3 linked regions of the Saccharomyces cerevisiae S288C genome follow. The gene in region 2 interacts genetically with the main gene of each other region. Each region holds a gene or a part of one and is shown on either strand. Other genes may lie near its edges.

Region 1 (5,814 bases), on a different chromosome or scaffold from region 2:
GGATTATCACGACGTTTTATGGGCTCTAAATCGGTATAAGCTCAACAAATGGTTGAGGGCCGAATAAACGAAAAATTATTAGACCATAATTGCTACCAGCTGAAAGATTATCTCATTATAATACGCTTGAAACCCTCTAAAATGTCATTCGTAGTTAAGTACACTTTTTTGATCTCTCCAAGGTTAGCCGCCCATATAAAAAACTCTAGGAACCAAATTTGGTATACTGCGTGCGCTTGAGATTCAGTTTTTGTGTAAATCGGTTGCTGCAAACTATTTATATTAATGTTACATCGATGCAAGATTTTAGCCATGTTCCTAGTTTCTTGTCTATGAGCGTTTACTCAACCGAGACTCTTGTTTGCTATTATCTCGATTCGACGAACAAACAGTTCCCTGGGTATTCGAACAAAGCACAGTTGGTGATTTTGTTTGAAACTACAGACGTGCTCTCTTTTACAAAATAAATTGTAGGAAGTGATCCGCACAGGCAGAGGGAATTACAGATCACGCTCCTCTCTTATGACTAATGCACTCAGCATTTTCTCTTCCTTATAAACTCCGTCCACAGTACCCGATCAGCTGGCTCATCGTTATTCTAAATTAACTGATGACTGATGTTACGTCTGCGTCAAATTCCGCCGGAATATTGCGTAGTTTTAGTAAGAAAAAAACAAATTCCGACGGGAACTCTCTGCAAGGAAGTTTAAGCGTGGGTTACTTTGCTAGGTTGAGAAAAAGAATTCTTTAGAGGATCACACGTAGTAAAAGAAAAAAAAGATCTCTTCGCGCCACTCCCGGTTTCTCTGTGGATACGGCGTTACTAGCGTTGCAAGTGGCAAAAAAATGAGTAATGTCACAATGGCCTGGCCTTGTCCCACTATCCCTTATTCATGGTTGAAAAATATGACCAAAATTGCTGGGGAATTTTCTCTTCGGTAGTGGACGACGACGACATTAGAGCAATAGGCAATAATTTAATTTGCGCTTTAGGTTCTTGCTGACGATGATGCGTGAGTAATATTATTACCAAGTTTTAAGGGCCTCATCGCTGGCCATTTTTTACACCTGCTTAAATACCCGATGATGATATATATAAATGATATTGGCTGCTTATCGATAAAGTGTATTTGATATGTTCCCGTTTAGTTTATTCTTGTTTCTTATCTACATAACAAACAAAGGAAGGACCCTGTATTGTTTTCCTAAAGATGACTGCTGCTAAACCAAATCCATATGCTGCCAAACCGGGCGACTATCTTTCTAATGTAAATAATTTCCAGTTAATCGATTCGACGCTGAGAGAAGGTGAACAATTTGCCAACGCATTCTTCGATACTGAAAAAAAGATCGAAATTGCTAGAGCCTTGGACGATTTCGGTGTGGACTACATCGAGTTAACCTCACCAGTAGCATCTGAACAATCAAGAAAGGACTGTGAAGCTATATGTAAACTAGGTTTAAAGGCCAAGATCCTTACACACATTCGTTGTCATATGGATGACGCCAAAGTCGCCGTAGAGACTGGTGTCGACGGTGTCGATGTCGTTATCGGCACCTCCAAATTTTTAAGACAATATTCCCACGGTAAGGATATGAACTACATCGCCAAGAGTGCTGTTGAAGTCATTGAATTTGTCAAATCCAAAGGTATTGAAATCAGATTTTCCTCTGAAGATTCCTTCAGAAGTGATCTCGTTGATCTTTTGAACATTTATAAAACCGTTGACAAGATCGGTGTAAATAGAGTCGGTATTGCCGACACAGTTGGATGTGCCAACCCAAGACAAGTATATGAACTGATCAGAACTTTGAAGAGTGTTGTTTCATGTGACATCGAATGCCATTTCCACAACGATACTGGTTGTGCCATTGCAAACGCCTACACTGCTTTGGAAGGTGGTGCCAGATTGATTGACGTCAGTGTACTGGGTATTGGTGAAAGAAACGGTATCACTCCTCTAGGTGGGCTCATGGCAAGAATGATTGTTGCCGCACCAGACTATGTCAAGTCCAAATACAAGTTGCACAAGATCAGAGACATTGAAAACCTGGTCGCTGATGCTGTGGAAGTTAACATTCCATTCAACAACCCTATCACCGGGTTCTGTGCATTCACACATAAAGCAGGTATCCATGCCAAGGCCATTTTGGCTAACCCATCTACCTACGAAATCTTGGACCCTCACGATTTCGGTATGAAGAGGTATATCCACTTCGCCAACAGACTAACTGGCTGGAACGCCATCAAAGCCAGAGTCGACCAGTTGAACTTGAACTTGACGGATGACCAAATCAAGGAAGTTACTGCTAAGATTAAGAAGCTGGGTGATGTCAGATCGCTGAATATCGATGATGTTGACTCTATCATCAAGAACTTCCACGCAGAGGTCAGCACTCCTCAAGTACTATCTGCAAAAAAGAACAAGAAGAATGACAGCGATGTACCGGAACTGGCCACCATCCCCGCCGCCAAGCGGACTAAGCCATCCGCCTAACGTTCCCAAACCATTACATTATGTTCTTTCACTTATTACATACGATATATAGCATCTACATCTACATATCTAAATGATGTTTTTTCCCATCTACTTTGTCCGATACGCATTAAAAGAAGAAGATTTACTCTCCCGTGATGCCGGGCCAATCAGACGCGCGCATTCGCGGCAGAATAAGGGGAGGCTGCTGCGGGTACCAAATATCCAGATATTCACAATTATGCCAATCAACTGTCTAGTTGCTGACACCCATCGTTTTCCACTGCAACGAGGTTTTGGGGCTAGAAAAGGCGTTAACAATCGTTAGAGAAGGAGGGGTTCATAACTTGACTTGTTGTATCTTGTTTAAAACTTTCTTTGAATTTGTTCGTGGTTGAATTTGTTTTTGCTATCCCAAAGGAGTGCATTTTACACGCATTACTACAGCACACTTTTATACAGTTCCACAATAGAATATGTTACCACGTTCAGCATTAGCACGCTCATTGCAATTACAGCGCGGTGTGGCCGCAAGGTTCTACTCTGAAGGTTCTACCGGCACCCCAAGAGGGTCAGGCTCAGAGGATTCGTTTGTTAAAAGGGAAAGGGCCACGGAAGACTTCTTCGTTAGGCAGCGTGAGAAGGAGCAACTACGCCATTTGAAAGAACAACTGGAAAAACAACGAAAGAAGATTGATTCTTTGGAAAATAAAATTGACTCGATGACCAAATAATCATGCGTTTCCGCAGAAGCTTTTTTTTTTTTTTTTTTAGAATATTCTTACTCTTTTATAGTCAAACAGCAGAAAAACTATATAATAATACATCACACTGAGCTTTTGCATTTTCGATAACTATCATTCTAGTTTTCCTCTGGTTTGAATTTTCCTCTTGTCTGTCTGACTAATGTCACTCATTATTTCCACTTCGCGCAAAGTTCGTCCCAATGCGGAAAGGCATAGAAAGATAGGAACAGTGTGGAACATGGAAAAGTTCCAAATAACGTCAATAGTCCATACTTAAGATACGAAATTTCAAAATTCCTTCTTTTTTGTTTCAACAAGCTTAGCCTAACACCAAGAATATACTTAGCATCTCTTCGCATTCAAAATTTCTCTTCCATTCTTTGACGTTTTAAATCATACCTCGTATTCTTTACACAAAAGAAAGATACCTGTGAAATATATCTGAATATGGTCCGATTAAATCATGCAGCATCATATTTTATGCCTATTTTCTGCTCCACAAGGCCTCACATAGTGATACTTTCTGCGCTGTTTAGTATTTCACTGTTTTCACTATTCTATGCGTCGTCCGAATTACTGCTACACCAGTATGATGATCCATTGATGTTCAAACCAAATTCGCAGGACTATTTCAGGACCTTTCTTTTGGGGCTTTTTTCACCATTTCTTTATTATTTCCTGAAGACCTTTCTATTCAATATAAATCAAAGGTTTTTAATATTGAACCTGATAGTGGATTTTCCTATCAACGACGTCTTTATGCTTTTGATACTGATTGGTTTAGCGTACCCTCAGGTGCAAGATCACGAAGGCGGTACGATCAAGCATAAGGAATGTTCTTGGCACATCATTCCAAGACAAGCCTATATCTTTGGTATATCATGGGCCCTGGGTGAATTCACCATATGCATAATAGGGAATTTGTTTAACTACCAAGAAATCGCCGATCCAAACATTAATAGTGGCTTCACACACCAGGAAAGCGCCAACACTTACTGTAACAATAATGATATGAGCCATAACGATGACTGCGGTTGTAGTACAGAATATCGCCCCAACGTCGTAGACAGAAGTGATATTACGTTGTCCAAATGTATTGAAGTAAGAAATGACTCATCTTCCATATCGAATAACGTATACTCGTCTGAGTACCATCCAATCAAACCTCTACGTTCATCGTCATCAACTTATGGCAGCATACGACAGCAACCTCATGAAAATAAGAAGCAGCTGCATGTACCAGATAATTCGCAGGACGATACAATTATCATGATGAACCCCATCGACAATTCATTAAAGTTGACAACTCTAGATACGGGTGATTTGAGTTTCCCCATAGACGAAGAACAGCCCATTTTGAAGAAATCTTTTGGTTATACATGGGCAGTTCCTAATGAAAATACACAAAATACTACTAAAAGCTTCACACCGATAAAGAGATTTATTGCATTTAGCACGGCATACCAGTTGGTCACCGGTTTATTGTTAATGATATTGGTAGTTGGTAGTAATATCATGTTGACAATTGGGGAATCATTGATTCTGTCGATGTATTTCGTCTATGTTCGCGGCCATGAAGGATTATTTACTCCCGTGGTGAACTACTTCGGCTCAAGAACCATTTCAAATTTCATCTTATGCGTAATAATTCCTTTCATATCTCTAAACTTCCTCATCAACACTTCGATATATTTAAGAAGAGAGCTAGACGATTGGTTTAATAATTCACAGGGGGAGTTTGAGGACGACGACGAAAATACTATCAGTAAGAGAGTAGCTACAAATCAAGAGTACCAACATCCACTGAGTGCTAATTACATTTCGATGGATAGTCCTGATGTAATAAATAGCAGCCCGGGTCACTTCGGGATGAATTCAGGCCAGTTGTTAGGTAATACGACGTTATATTATGGTAGTTTAAATGGGGATGATGATGATATGACCAACGACTCCGCTTTACTAAGATTCTGCAAGAAGCTAGTCAAAAATTGGAGGGCTTTGGCAAGAAATGATTCTTTTGTACTTGGAGTAATGGTTTCTTGGAGTCTTCTTGTTTTTGTAACGGGAATACTTTCAACAGTTTATATATAGCATATAAGTAACGACCGTGCACATATTAGGGTGTTCATATCTTGAAAAATCTTTATGTTATCCATTTTACTTTAGGGGAGGTGGAGCTTAATAATAAAATTTACATAAGAACAACAATCTGTAAGTAATTATAAAAATATATTAAAGGGACATTTTAACCCTACTTTAAAAGTTTAACTACATCAGTGGTTCATCAATCAAAGGTTATGCAAGGTAGAAATTTGTCCAAAAGAAAATAGATCATGCATCATTCAATATGGAGCTCACACTGTATGCTACAATTTGGCCTCCATTCATAACTGCCAAGATAAAATTTGTTGGCAATATGGAGCTCACACTGTATGCTACAATTTGGCCTCCATTCATAACTGCCAAGATAAAATTTGTTGGCAATATTGAAAATTCTTAAATTAGCGCTGCGCGGAAACCAGCGTCACTAATTTTTTTTTTTATTGCTGCACTAAAAAAAAACCAGCTCAAGTAGATAATCTTACAAGGGA
Region 2 (7,763 bases):
GTATATACATACACTAATCCGGGAAATGTAGTCACCATACTAATATTCCGAATATGTATTTGTTCCTTGGTATATAGTGTAAGCATGGTTAGCTCACACTTTATCTAATTGTAGTTTCTTCGTATGCTTCATCAAGTTGCCTAATTTTAATACAACATCGGTACCATATCCAGGCATTGAATGCAATGAAAGGTCGCCGTTCCAATATTCAGCATACACTTTACACATGGCTAACCCAATCCCAAGCTTGTATCTAAAAGACCGCTTTAACAATTCAATTAGGGGAGTTTCATATTTGATGTGCCCATTTATGATGCTAGGATAACTCATTGGTTCTAGCGACGTGTGCATGTACGGTTTTAATGTTATTGACTGCAATGACTTCAGTTTGGAGTTATATTTAGTATGGGAATGTACTTCGTCATAAATAGATACTGTTTGTAAACCAGGTAACTTGTGAAAATTATTTAGGGATTCTTGAGCCCTTTCTTTCGATTTACCGAATGACCATAGATTTTCATCATCATGGAGGACGCCCCCAGCTTTATCTGAAATTCTAAACAAATAGGATTCATCGTTACTTACTACAGTTACTATGATTGGTTCCGGCTTTTCTAATCCCTTACGAATATAGTGTTTCATGGTTGCTTCGTAAGTATTTCGAAGGATCTCCCCTAACAAATACTTCAAATGTGTAGGCAAAAAGTAAAAGCTTAGTTGAGTGTCACCTTCGATAATAAATTCTGGCATGGGAATGTCTTTAAAGTACATATCTTGGATAAATTTTTGAGATTCCTCACTGGCTTCCAATAAATATTTTTTAGCGCTACATTCTTGAAAAATATCACCCAATACCAAGGTATTTTCCTCCTTACCACTAGTGTAGTTGGCTGTGATACTGACGTGTTCCTCTACAATCAATCTTCTTGATATTCGAGCTCTTAACAGATCAGATAGTAGTTGGTCCATTTTTTCACGAGGATAAAGATCCAAAATTGTACATTCTAAAGCCCCCATTATCAAATGTGGTAAGTTTAGAGTATTGAAGCCTTCTAGCATATTTTTGATAAAATCTGCAAATTGAGAAGCGTCCTCTAAAGTTCTTATAGTCGGATATTTTCTAAAGCTTTCAAAAATATTGTAATATGACTCATAAACTTGAACAAAATGGAAGTTGTTCACAACATTAAATGGAAGTTGTTGCAATTGATTTAATTTATGCGCGATCCTAATTACCAGTTCTTCTTTTACAAATTTCCCGGAATTGATGATCTTGGTTCTGGTCAGCTTGGTAGAATCGTCATAATATTGCGCTAACTGCGTTAATGATACTGGATTTGGACTTCGTTTTAAGTAATTTTCTACTAATACCGTTCTATTATGATAGTAATGCTGCGGATTGATATATTCGGAATTTGAAGGGTATGCCTTCATGGTTTCCATGATGTAAGGTGCCAATTCTTCATTTACGGGACCAATGCAGTATTTCGTGAAATCAGGGATCTGCGAGATATTAGATGTCCTGAGAAAGTGCCGGTATCTTATGCAATTAATTTGATACTTAGACATAATTACAGAACTATTTATCCATTGACCAATCTCTCACGATCTTCATCTTTTACGTACTTTCTGGGTTCCAATGCAAGTATCCCATCCCTTCCCTTTTTATTCCTTGACGATCGGGCGATGAAATCTGAAAAAAATGAAAGTTTGGATGACTCAAAACATAGTGTTTCCCTTTAATAGAATAATTCGATTTACTCGGGAACAAAAGAGAAGAGCAACTAATTTACTATGTAGTTTACGAGCGTATGTTCATCTCTTCTATATATTCTCCCAGAGTATTATTGGAAATGTTGATGAATGCTAATTCAGGCTCACCTTCTCCTTGAAATGATTCGGAGATTTCTTTATTGATGAGTGTTAACAGACCCAAATCCCATTTGTTCCTTAAACTAACAAAAAATTTCATATATGTTAGTACCAAGAGTAAATCACCTTGCGTTCTTTTCTTTTGCTTGGCGGCAGAAAAACATATTAAAGCAATGCTATGAATGGAAGCCATGCGATCTTCATTAATAGTGATGTAAGGTCTTGGAGGTAGAGTTGGCATTATCGGTACACTATTAGCGGTATTCCCAGGATTCTGTTGTTCGATTAAACCGACAGTTTCGTCACGATTAGCAGCCTCAGGAGATCTAATCATCATATCTCTTAGAATGTCAAGAACAGCAATCTTTGCAGTTATATATGGACAATGTAGTAGAGTTTCAAAGATGAACGTAAAAGATGTGCTTTCGGGCATGAGATAGAGTAACCTCCTCAGAAGAGTAATTTCGGTCAACTTAGTGTCGTTATTAGATTCATTGCAAGTTTTCATCAGTAACATCTGCAAAAAGGCCGTGGTAATGTGCCCTGGAAGTTCTTGTAAGGCACACTTTATTTTCTCTGTGGAAGTCTCGGTTGTGGATACCCATAGCCAGTAGCGTACTGAACTTTCCAAAAACTTATTTTCGTATATTTCTGAAAATAAAGAAGCTGTCGTACACCGTAGATAGAGGTAAATTGCGCTTTGGATATCAATTTGCGGCAATAAGTGAGTACCATTTTTAGAATAATGTATTGCAGATAGAATCACAACTCCATATTGGTCCAGCTCTAAGTTCTTTTCGTCAGCTAGTTTCTTGATTTGATATGCGTAAGATACCTCATATACTAGTTGGTTAATTTCTTCTTTGAATTCGGGCGTGGAAGCGGCCGGGTTCATGAGAAGAGAGTTATAGATGCTTCTTGATTCTACCAGGCACTTTTCTAAAAGTTCTTTCATGTGGACATCCAATGATGTGACATACTCGTAGTATTGGTGGCATATCTGTAAAACTGAAGCATCGATTTCATTTTCATCTGTTTTTTTATGCATCAATGTTTTGAAATATATCTTGTCAATATTACCTGGATGATTTTTTAGGCAGTTGCTAATCACGAATACGCTCAGATTAGCCAGTAGTTTTTTCTGTAAGGCAGATTCATCATCATGAATTTTTTCAAGATCGTTTGTACTAATACCATCGGTCAGACTAGCAGATGGTTGAGCTGGAGAGTAATTAGTACAAAAATTGTACACTATGCGCAAAATAAAGTGTGGATCATCCATAGCCTGAACGTTGGTTGTTACATACTTAATAATTGCAGAAGTTACCATGGCTAGAAATTTAGATGGATATAAAGTGTCCACACGTTTCAACAATAAACTCATAAATTCAAAGAGAACGTAAATTTTCAAATTTGGAATGAATTCTACTGTATTTTTGGCCATATAGTGCCCAATCTCCGGAGTGATAACTGACAGCTCATCAGTAATGTTTGACGCATCATTTCTATTGGAGTCATTTAAATCTTCATTCTCTTCATCGGAGTCGCCAGTTTCAGTTAAGACTATATGGAGTGTTGACACCAATTCGCAAGCGGTCAACAAGCATTCTTTCGGATTTCCATTGATGGCTAGCTCATTGAAGCATTCCATCACACTAGAAACAAGGGGACTAAAAACTAGATGTATATTGACATTGATGTTTTTGCGTGAGAAAAACTGCAATAAACCCTTTGGCAGATCCCAGCCAATTTCCTTTAAGGTAACTGGATTATCCTTAAGTATTTTCAATAGGGCATCCAAATAACGTTCCTTTTCTTTTATAGACTTTCCAGAGTTCACCTGCTCGTTGTACATATCAATGATTGTTACAAGTGAGACAAAATCATCCTTCTCCTCTTGGAAAGCCCTGACAAGGCTTTTACAAATTGTTTCAATTGACTCACCCATACTTTCTGAGCCCTTCCTCTTGACGGTGAGTTCTTTTAGCCTTTTAGACCCAGGATAATATGTATTTTCCTTTATTCTTAGATGAGAGGTTTTTGGACCTCAGCGCAAGTTAGTTTCACAGCGAAACGAAGGAAAAAAGAATAATAATTACAAACAAACGCCAAAATCAAACGCGATAAAGAAAGATAGGCTAAGTAATCTGGACTGGTGACTCAAGTATTACTAAAGAAGATAATTTGAAACTTGAACAAGTCTTCAATATGAGTGAGCAAAGCCAATTAGATGATTCGACTATAGACAAACTGATTCCACAGATTTTCAATGAGATGAGATCTAACCTCAATAACACGACCAATAAATTTCCAAAAAGCACAGGAGGTGGAGCAAGCGATAATATTTCGGCTAACAGCAATTCTATAAGATCGTTTAATTCAATCACAACGCAATCCTTACTCAAAGAATCAGAATCGTTAGATAAAATAACAGCAATGATAAAAAATGTTACGGCCGCATTAAAAAATAACTTGCCAGTATACGTTAATCAAGTACATGAGGTATGTAAATCTACGAATTCCATTTTAGATTCATGGATCAACATTCATTCTCAAGCTGGTTATATTCATAAATTGATGAGCGATCAAACCTATTTAAAGCTAATTAATGATAGACTGCACAATGAAAATGTAAACACAAATGATGAAGATGGGAGTACTTTACACAACGTGATAGCGTTGAAAAAGAAGGAGATCTTGGATTTGAGACAAAAATTAGAAAATAGGAAGGGTGAAAAGGATGCTGCACCAGCAAAGCCACCAAATCAAGGCTTAAATCCAAGGTACGGTGTGCAATCTGGTAGAAGGCCCGTTCCTTCGGCAGGAATTTCAAATAACGGAAGAGTAAGAAAGACCCATGTTCCTGCCTCGAAAAGACCTAGTGGTATACCAAGAGTAACTAACAGGTGGACTAAGCCCACTGCTAGCAGCTCAAGGAAGATGTTTCGCTAAAAGATGCTTTCGGGAATGTATCTAGGATTTATTGTATATGGAATTTAAATCGAAATAGTAGATAAATTAATGATGAAAAAAGGACACGTTAATTGGATGCGTTAAATTATTATTTTTTTTTTTATTTAACTTTTGTTCCTAATTATGTATTAGTATTTACTGGTCGTCAAAAAATAGGAAAGGTAAATAAATAAGATTCGGGTATATTATACATTATAAATGAGAACTAACCGGTTCATGCCTTAGTTTCAACAGGAACTTGGTCTTCTAATAGAACTAATAAATCAGAAGAGTCCACATTTTCACCATCAGAGACAAACACTTCTTTAACTTGTCCATCGGATGGAGAAGATATAATCATTTCCATTTTCATGGCGCTTAATACGGCTACAGGTTGGCCCTTCTTTATTAGTGATCCTTTATGAACTTTAACTTCAACAATGACACCTGCCATTGGTGCACCAATGTGTAATGGATCATGCATGTCTGCTTTGGATTTAGTAACAGTTTCCACTTTTTGTGATCTGTCAGCAACACGAATTTTTCTCATTTCACCATTCAAATCAAAGTAAACTTCTCTTTCACCGGTCTTTTTGTTCAAATCACCCACAGCCTGTAGCTTGATAATTAGCGTTTTACCTTGTTCGATTACAACTTCAATTTCTTCGTCAGTCTCTAGTGGAGACAAAAAGCTTCTTGTTGGCAATACAGATAAATCACCATACGTTTCTCTCATCTTTTGGAAGTCTTCATAAACTCTTGGGTACATGTTATAAGAAGCAACGTCGCACTCATCAACATCACCAAATCTATTCTGCAAGTCTTCTCTAATTTTTTCGAGATCAAATGGCTCTAGTTCCAGGCCTGGACGACAAGTCAACTTTCTTCTCTTGTTCCTTAAAACGTCTGATCTAAATGGTTCTGGGAACCCACCATATGGTTGGCCGATTAAGCCTTCGAAGAAATCCATAACAGAGTCAGGGAAATCCAAAGAATTAGCCAGGCGTCTCACATCATCGGAAGTTAATTTATTGGAGACCATAAATTGTGCCAGATCACCAACGACCTTCGAAGTTGGGGTAACTTTGACAATATCACCCAATAAATAATTGGCTTCTCTGTAAGCTCTTTTTGTTTCGGCCCATTGTTCTCCAAGACCCAATTGTTGGGCTTGAAACAACAAGTTTGTCAATTGACCACCTGGGATTTCATGTTGATAAACTTCTGGATCTGGGCCCTTCAAGTCAGCCTCGAAACAAGAGTATAACAATCTCATCTCTGCCCAATATGCATCTAGTTCACGGACATGCTCAACGTTAATACCAGTGTCAATATTACCTTCTAATGAAGCCAACAGAGCATTGATTGATGGTTGTGAAGTTAAACCAGACATTGAGTTGATGGCAACATCAACGACATCGGCGCCCGCCAGAGCACACGCAGTCATTGATGCAACAGCAGTACCTGCAGAATCGTGAGTGTGAACATGTATTGGGAGATCAGGGTACTTAGCCCTCAAAGATCCAATCAGTAGTTTGGCAGCTGCTGGCTTCATGGTACCTGCCATATCTTTGATACCCAGGATATGAGTGCCCATTTGGACAATTTTTTCAGCAATTTCCAAGTAGTAATCCAAATTGTATTTCTTGCCTGGCTGAAGCATATCCCCAGAGAAACAAACAGTGGCTTCTACAACACCACCTGCCTTCTTCACAGCATCTACACCGACCTTCAATTGTTCCAAGTCATTTAAGGCATCAAAGACTCTAAATATATCAACACCATTATCCTTGGCTTGCTTGACGAAATGGTCAATAGCATTGTCAGGCAATGAAGAATAAGCCACACCATTGGCACCACGCAATAACATTTGGAATGGAATATTAGGCACCAGAGATCTTAATTTTCTCAAACGTTCCCATGGATCCTCATGCAAAAATCTCATTGCAACATCGAATGTGGCACCACCCCAACATTCTAAGGCGAAACGACCTGCAAGGGCATGTGCGGTTGTTGGAGCGATTGTAGCCAAATCGTGGGTTCTGACTCTTGTTGCAAGTAGAGATTGATGAGCGTCTCTCCAGGTGGTGTCCATCAATAAAGTACCATTGAACTGTCTAACTTGTCTGGCAAATTCAGCTGGCCCCTTTTCTAGTAGCACTTGCCTCCATCCGGATGGTGGTGCAGACTTTGTAACGTTGATGACATTGCCCTGAGCATCGTGCAAATGGGGGACACTTGGATTTGATTTTAATTTTGGCAAGCCAATTTGACCCTTGATAGATGAACCATTGACTGCCACGTCGGCGAGGTAATGTAAAAGTTTTTGGGCTCTGTTTTGTGATGAAACCATTTGGAACAGTTGTGGGGTGTCGTCAATAAAAGTCGTCCAGTATGTACCCTCAATAAATACTGGATTGGTCAAAAGAGTCAATAGGAAGGGAATGTTGGTCTTGACACCTCTAATTCTGAACTCGATTAATGCACGAATCATTTTTCTACGAACGATTTCGTAGGTGGAACCGGAGCATGAGCATTTGACCAGCATTGAGTCGTAATGAGGTGAGATTATTGTTCCTGCATAGGCGTTACCACCATCCAGTCTAACACCATTACCACCTGCAGAACGGTACACTTCTATTCTACCGGTATCTGGTTGGAAGTTCTTAGCAGGGTCTTCCGTGGTAATACGGCACTGAATGGCAAAGCCACGAGTCGTAATTTTGTCCTGGAATAGGCCCAGCTGGGGTAGAGAGGCACCTGCCGCAATTTGGATCTGAGCCGCCACAATATCTATACCGGTAATTTCTTCTGTGATGGTATGTTCCACTTGGATTCTTGGATTAATTTCAATGAAATAGTGTCTATTTTGGTTATCAACCAAGAATTCAGCAGTACCCGCATTTCTGTAGCCACACTCTTTGGCCAATTTAACTGCA
Region 3 (5,364 bases), on a different chromosome or scaffold from region 2:
CCTCCTTCTCTGCCATTATTTTCCTTGTGTAACCTTTAAATGTTTTTTTTTTGATTCAAATTAAAAGGGATTTAAAAGTTCAAACCCTCACTTGTTGTATAGAGAAAGGTAAAAGCTAGCAAATACACACAGGTAGCCCTCTAAGCAAGTATAGATATATTGAGAGGCAAAAGCTATGGACTTATTTGGACTTTTGTTGTTTTGTAACCTCTAAAAGGGTTGCACTCAAGAAAAAAGGTTTTCCATATCGACTTATCTGAGTTTCTTTTTTTTGCTTTTTTTTTTTTTAGCCCATTTTTTTTTTGACGCATTAGTCGTTAATGATGATATAATGTCCACGTGATGACATTTCAATCTGCAACAATAGCTCGGCAACTGGATTACTAGCAGTCATACGTATGTCAGTCACTACACATATATATATATTAATGTTTAACTAATTTTTTTTTCTTATCTATCTGATATTTATTCTATAACTATATAAATTTGTCTCTTCACTTCTAAATACCTCTGTTAAAATAGACCTTTTCAATTGGCTTCCCATCCTTATCCTTCTTGCCATGTAGTTCAGGTTCTAGTTTATTTAAATGGATTGCTTGTCTTTGAGGGAAGATACCGAGTGCAAATGGCAAAGCTGAGAACATTGTGACTGAGATCAACCCCAAATTGGCCAAAGTTTGCACACCGAGAGACTTACCTTTGAGGACACCGCGTTGTAGTCTAACCAAAATCAAAGGTGGGATGACCATAGTTGGAGTGGCGTTAATCACTCTACTTAATGCAGTTTCACCAACTGCCATGAAGGCAGCCTTCTTGGACTTTCCGACTTCGTCACCGTTAGAGTCAAACACAGAAATACCCTTTCTAATTTCGTTGCCTCTCATTAGGAAGACGTTGACAATACCGGCACTGACCACGGCGGCAAATGGCACCAAACGGCCCAAGATCAACTTTGAATGTGGAGAAATGTTTTTCAACCTGGGAACTAGGTTATTTAGACCTAACGCAACACCACACGACGCAGTTACAGCGGCAGCGTAATTGGTGAGCAATTGGGACGTGGACATAGGATGAGATTTGTTTGCGTTAGCGGAATTAACGGCGACGTTTAGCGATTGATTTGCCCATTGCCAAAATACAGTCCCTGCCGTACCCAAACCAGGCGTCAGCATACCTACAGTAACGACTAGGTTTGATAGCACGTTGGAAGACATACGGAAGGGCAAAAGAACTGTCTTCCCTGTGTCCGGATGCACGGTGGAGTCCAGTTGTTTCTTGGCTCGCCAGAACTCCGGAGTAGTCTCTTTTAGTTCACCGTGACGATACGCACTGATGATTTCTCTAGCATGCGCCAGGTCCTTCTCAGTAGTTAACAACATAGTGGGGTCGGAAATCTCTGCGCAATGGCGGATTCTACCCCAATACGTGGATAAGTCATAGCGGGATTCGGGCAAATCGATGGGCCCTGGGACTGATGATGCCATATTTCTCTGCCTTGTTTATTTTTTTCTTTCGATGCTGTGTGGTTTTATTATTGCTAACTTGCAGTGGTCGACGCCTTTGAAAACTGTAAAGCTGATGCGAAGACCTAACAGTCTCTTATCCAATTACCTCAATCTGGTACGCTCCGGTACCGGACGCCAGTACGAAAGAAAAACTTTTCGTTCGTCTCGGGCACCATTGGTATAAAAAGCGCCGAGGCAGCGATCATTTTTCTAGTATTACTCTTCTTTCATTTTTTAGTTATCTTTGATTTTCGGTTCCGAAGAAGGCATGATACATATTAAACATGCCTTCTATTCACTGTGCCATCTTACATCCGTAGGTGATCAGAGGGGAAAAGAAGAGCTAGAGCAACTCCCACACTCATGAGCGTCCTCATACTGTTCTGGGCGCTTCTCACAGGTGCTTCTTTTAGTGTCTCCCATTGGCCCAGATCGGTAGCTGCGCGAGTGAGATATCTTTCATTCATTTATATTTATCTGTAGCAATAGCTTCCTTTACTATTTTATTCTTAGGGAGAACTTTAGCTTATTTCTTGCACAAGAGGGTTTGACAGTTTTCTGTTACCCGGCCAGTACTTCAAAAATTTTTCAAAAATTTTCTGAAGTGCTCATCTCATCGCAAACCGTAGGAGCAGTGAAAGGCATATGCTCATCTGTATAATTGCAAAAAGACATATTCTATGTTCGCAGAACCAATACGTTACCTAAAGTTTTAAAGACAATACCAAGGGAAACTGCACAAATTCAATATGACAGAAGATAAATCGCAGGTTAAAATCAGGTTTTTCACGCGTGAGAAAGATGAATTACTACATGTACAAGATACTCCAATGTACGCCCCCATCTCATTAAAGAGATATGGGTTGTCCGAAATTGTCAATCACTTGTTGGGCTCGGAAAAGCCTGTTCCTTTCGATTTCTTGATTGAAGGTGAATTGTTACGTACTTCATTGCACGACTATTTGACCAAGAAAGGTTTATCGAGCGAAGCCTCGCTGAATGTAGAATATACCAGGGCAATTCTTCCACCATCCTATTTGAATAGTTTCAGCAATGAGGACTGGGTTAGCTCATTGGATGTCGGCGACGGTTCCAAGCATATTATTAGTGGTTCTTACGATGGTATAGTTCGCACCTGGGATTTATCAGGTAATGTGCAAAAGCAGTACAGTGGTCATTCTGGCCCAATCCGTGCAGTAAAATACATTTCCAATACAAGGCTAGTTTCGGCTGGTAACGACCGTACTTTGAGATTATGGAAAACCAAAAACGATGATTTGAAATTAACTTCACAACAACAGGCACAGGAAGACGATGATGACGAAGTAAACATAGAGGACGGTAAGACACTGGCTATCTTGGAAGGTCATAAGGCACCAGTAGTCTCTATTGATGTTTCAGACAACTCAAGAATATTATCTGCATCATACGACAATTCTATTGGGTTCTGGTCTACTATTTATAAGGAAATGACAGTTGTTGATCCATTAGAAGATATAAACAATCCAAACAATAAAATATCCACTGCTGCTAGAAAAAGGAGAAAATTGACAATGAAAGATGGTACCATTAGAAGACGTGCCCCTCTGTCTCTGTTAGAATCCCATACAGCTCCTGTTGAGCAAGTGATCTTCGATTCTACAGATAATACCGTTGGTTATTCAGTATCACAAGATCATACCATCAAGACATGGGATTTGGTCACCGCGAGATGTATAGATACAAGAACAACATCGTACTCGTTGCTTTCCATTGCTCAATTGTCGACTTTGAACTTGTTAGCATGTGGGTCCAGCGCCAGACACATCACATTGCATGACCCACGTGTGGGAGCGTCTTCCAAAGTTACTCAGCAACAACTAATTGGTCATAAGAACTTCGTTTCCTCTCTGGACACTTGTCCCGAGAATGAGTATATATTATGCTCGGGTTCTCACGATGGTACCGTGAAGGTATGGGACGTCAGGTCTACTTCTCCGATGTACACCATAACAAGAGAAGACAAATCGGTCCAAAAGGGCGTCAATGACAAAGTTTTTGCTGTCAAATGGGCTGAAAAAGTGGGTATTATCAGCGCTGGTCAAGACAAAAAGATTCAAATAAATAAAGGAGACAACATTTTCAAAAACTGAGAAAAAACTGTTGTTGTTTTTATGTAGAATAATGTACTGATATACTTGAAATAAATTTGGTTTTGCCAACAGCTTTCGCAAATTTCTGTCACCTTCTTCTTTATGTAAAACGACATTACTTGCTAAAAAAAAAAATACTTCTATGATAATGTGTACTTGTATGAAACTTCTATAAATTTAAATTGGTGAATTTTATCCAGCTATCCCCCAATTTACTATTTGAATATATGCAATTGTGATCTGTCTTAAGACCTTTTCAAACCATTCTGGCGGAAGCATCGGTGGCCATTTCCGTATACGAATAACCGTCTTCATTATCCTTGATAGCTGAGTATAAACTATTGGAAATGGGTTCATTACGATTTTGCGCATGTTGCCCGTCCTCGCGATCAAACGAGGCAGGAACGGGCTGCGTATGGGTCCTGCGCAGAGATAGCCTTTCACCTGGTTTTTCTCTAGTCGAAGGGTCTGTTTCCATGGTCCTTAACGTGGTCATCCTTGTTAGATTCAATTCACCATCGACAGCATTTACGTCATCTATACCACCTTCGGTCTCAGCCTCCTTTTCCATGGCGGCATAACCAAATTGTGACTTGTGTCTTAATTTGCTCCCCCATTTTTCAAAAACCCATGGAATTGGAATCATCACAACGCAAACTAATGCAAATAAAGTGCTTGCCCATTTGATTTTCATCTTTGTGTACATTTGGATGGTAAACAATGGGAATACACTACTCATAACGTATCTTAATAGATTATTGGCAGCCAAACAGGATGCCACAGTTAATGGCGGATAGCATGTAGAGAAGTACATTAAAACGCTGAAAAAAATCAAAATTAAACCAAAACCAAATGGCACACCGGCAGCCACAGGAGCCATCCAGTGGACATCTGATCTAGCAGTCCAGGCTTGCCAAAACAGGCCGATAGGCAAAGCTACAGAACCAAATTTACAGGCAATTAAAAATTTTTCTGGAACAACGGGTAGCAATTCACCTGTTTCAGCGTCTCTTGCACCTCTGTAAGGGGTAGTCCTTTTAGAAGTTCTCTCTTTTTCGGTGAGTGGTTGAGTGCCAGCTGGTGGTTTAGGGAAGAGATATTTTCTGTCGATGTAAAGGTAAAAGAAAGCACCTATCCATAACCCGACACCAATACCAATAAATGGCAAGCCAGATATCCCCATAGACATGTGGTAAACACCACGATAAATGACAGCGTATGCTTCGAAAAATCCAAATAAAATGGCGAATATGAAAGCGACATAAACACTGAAAACAAATACAATAGGTTCAACGACAAGCATTTTTAAAGGCCTTAAGATTGTAATAGTGACAGTGGTTTTTAAAAATTCTTTCTGAGCTTCCCTGCTGAACTTCTTCAAGGCTATATTTCTCTTCTTGGCACGCTTTCTTAAAATAATACCTTTATGGGTCTCTGGCATGAGCGCAATAAATGGCAAGATTAGACCGCCCGCAATCAATTGGATCCATTCAGACCAACGCCAGCCTTTGGCTTCAGTAGCAAATCCTGCCATAATAGGAGATAAAACTGGCCCTAAGAATGGAGATAGAACAAAGTATGTCATTGCGACGGAGACCTGGTCCACGTCAAAGATATCCAGGATGGTACCTGATCCAACGGATAAGGCGGGGGATGCAAAGACACCTGATAAAAACCTTAGGGGTAGAATTATTCTCATGTGGCCATTGGATAACCCAACACCCATG

What was found. Genes that interact genetically often act in the same process or in processes that back each other up.
Region 1: mutations in YBP2 (region 2) and AIT1 together harm fitness less than expected from each alone (positive genetic interaction), as found in Saccharomyces cerevisiae (2 studies listed by BioGRID).
Region 3: mutations in YBP2 (region 2) and FSF1 together harm fitness more than expected from each alone (negative genetic interaction), as found in Saccharomyces cerevisiae (2 studies listed by BioGRID).

Annotation. Positions count from the first base shown.
Region 1 is NC_001136.10:132,226-138,039, forward strand, and holds AIT1 (Ait1p), read left to right. Parts: upstream 1-3,670; coding exon 3,671-5,314; downstream 5,315-5,814. Other genes in the region: homocitrate synthase LYS20, read left to right, coding at 1,212-2,498; INH1 (ATPase inhibitor), read left to right, coding at 2,954-3,211.
Region 2 is NC_001139.9:386,029-393,791, reverse strand, and holds YBP2 (Ybp2p), read right to left. Parts: upstream 3,728-7,763; coding exon 1,802-3,727; downstream 1-1,801. Other genes in the region: protein kinase PKP2, read right to left, coding at 94-1,569; DUO1 (Duo1p), read left to right, coding at 4,081-4,824; PYC1 (pyruvate carboxylase 1), read right to left, coding at 5,060-7,763. UniProt on the Saccharomyces cerevisiae protein: Involved in oxidative stress response and redox homeostasis. Required for hydrogen peroxide-induced activation of YAP1. Acts in a parallele pathway to YBP1.
Region 3 is NC_001147.6:830,559-835,922, forward strand, and holds FSF1 (Fsf1p), read right to left. Parts: upstream 1,485-5,364; coding exon 501-1,484; downstream 1-500. Other genes in the region: VPH1 (H(+)-transporting V0 sector ATPase subunit a), read right to left, coding at 1-16; YTM1 (Ytm1p), read left to right, coding at 2,255-3,637; TPO4 (Tpo4p), read right to left, coding at 3,894-5,364. UniProt on the Saccharomyces cerevisiae protein: Mitochondrial amino-acid transporter that mediates transport of serine into mitochondria.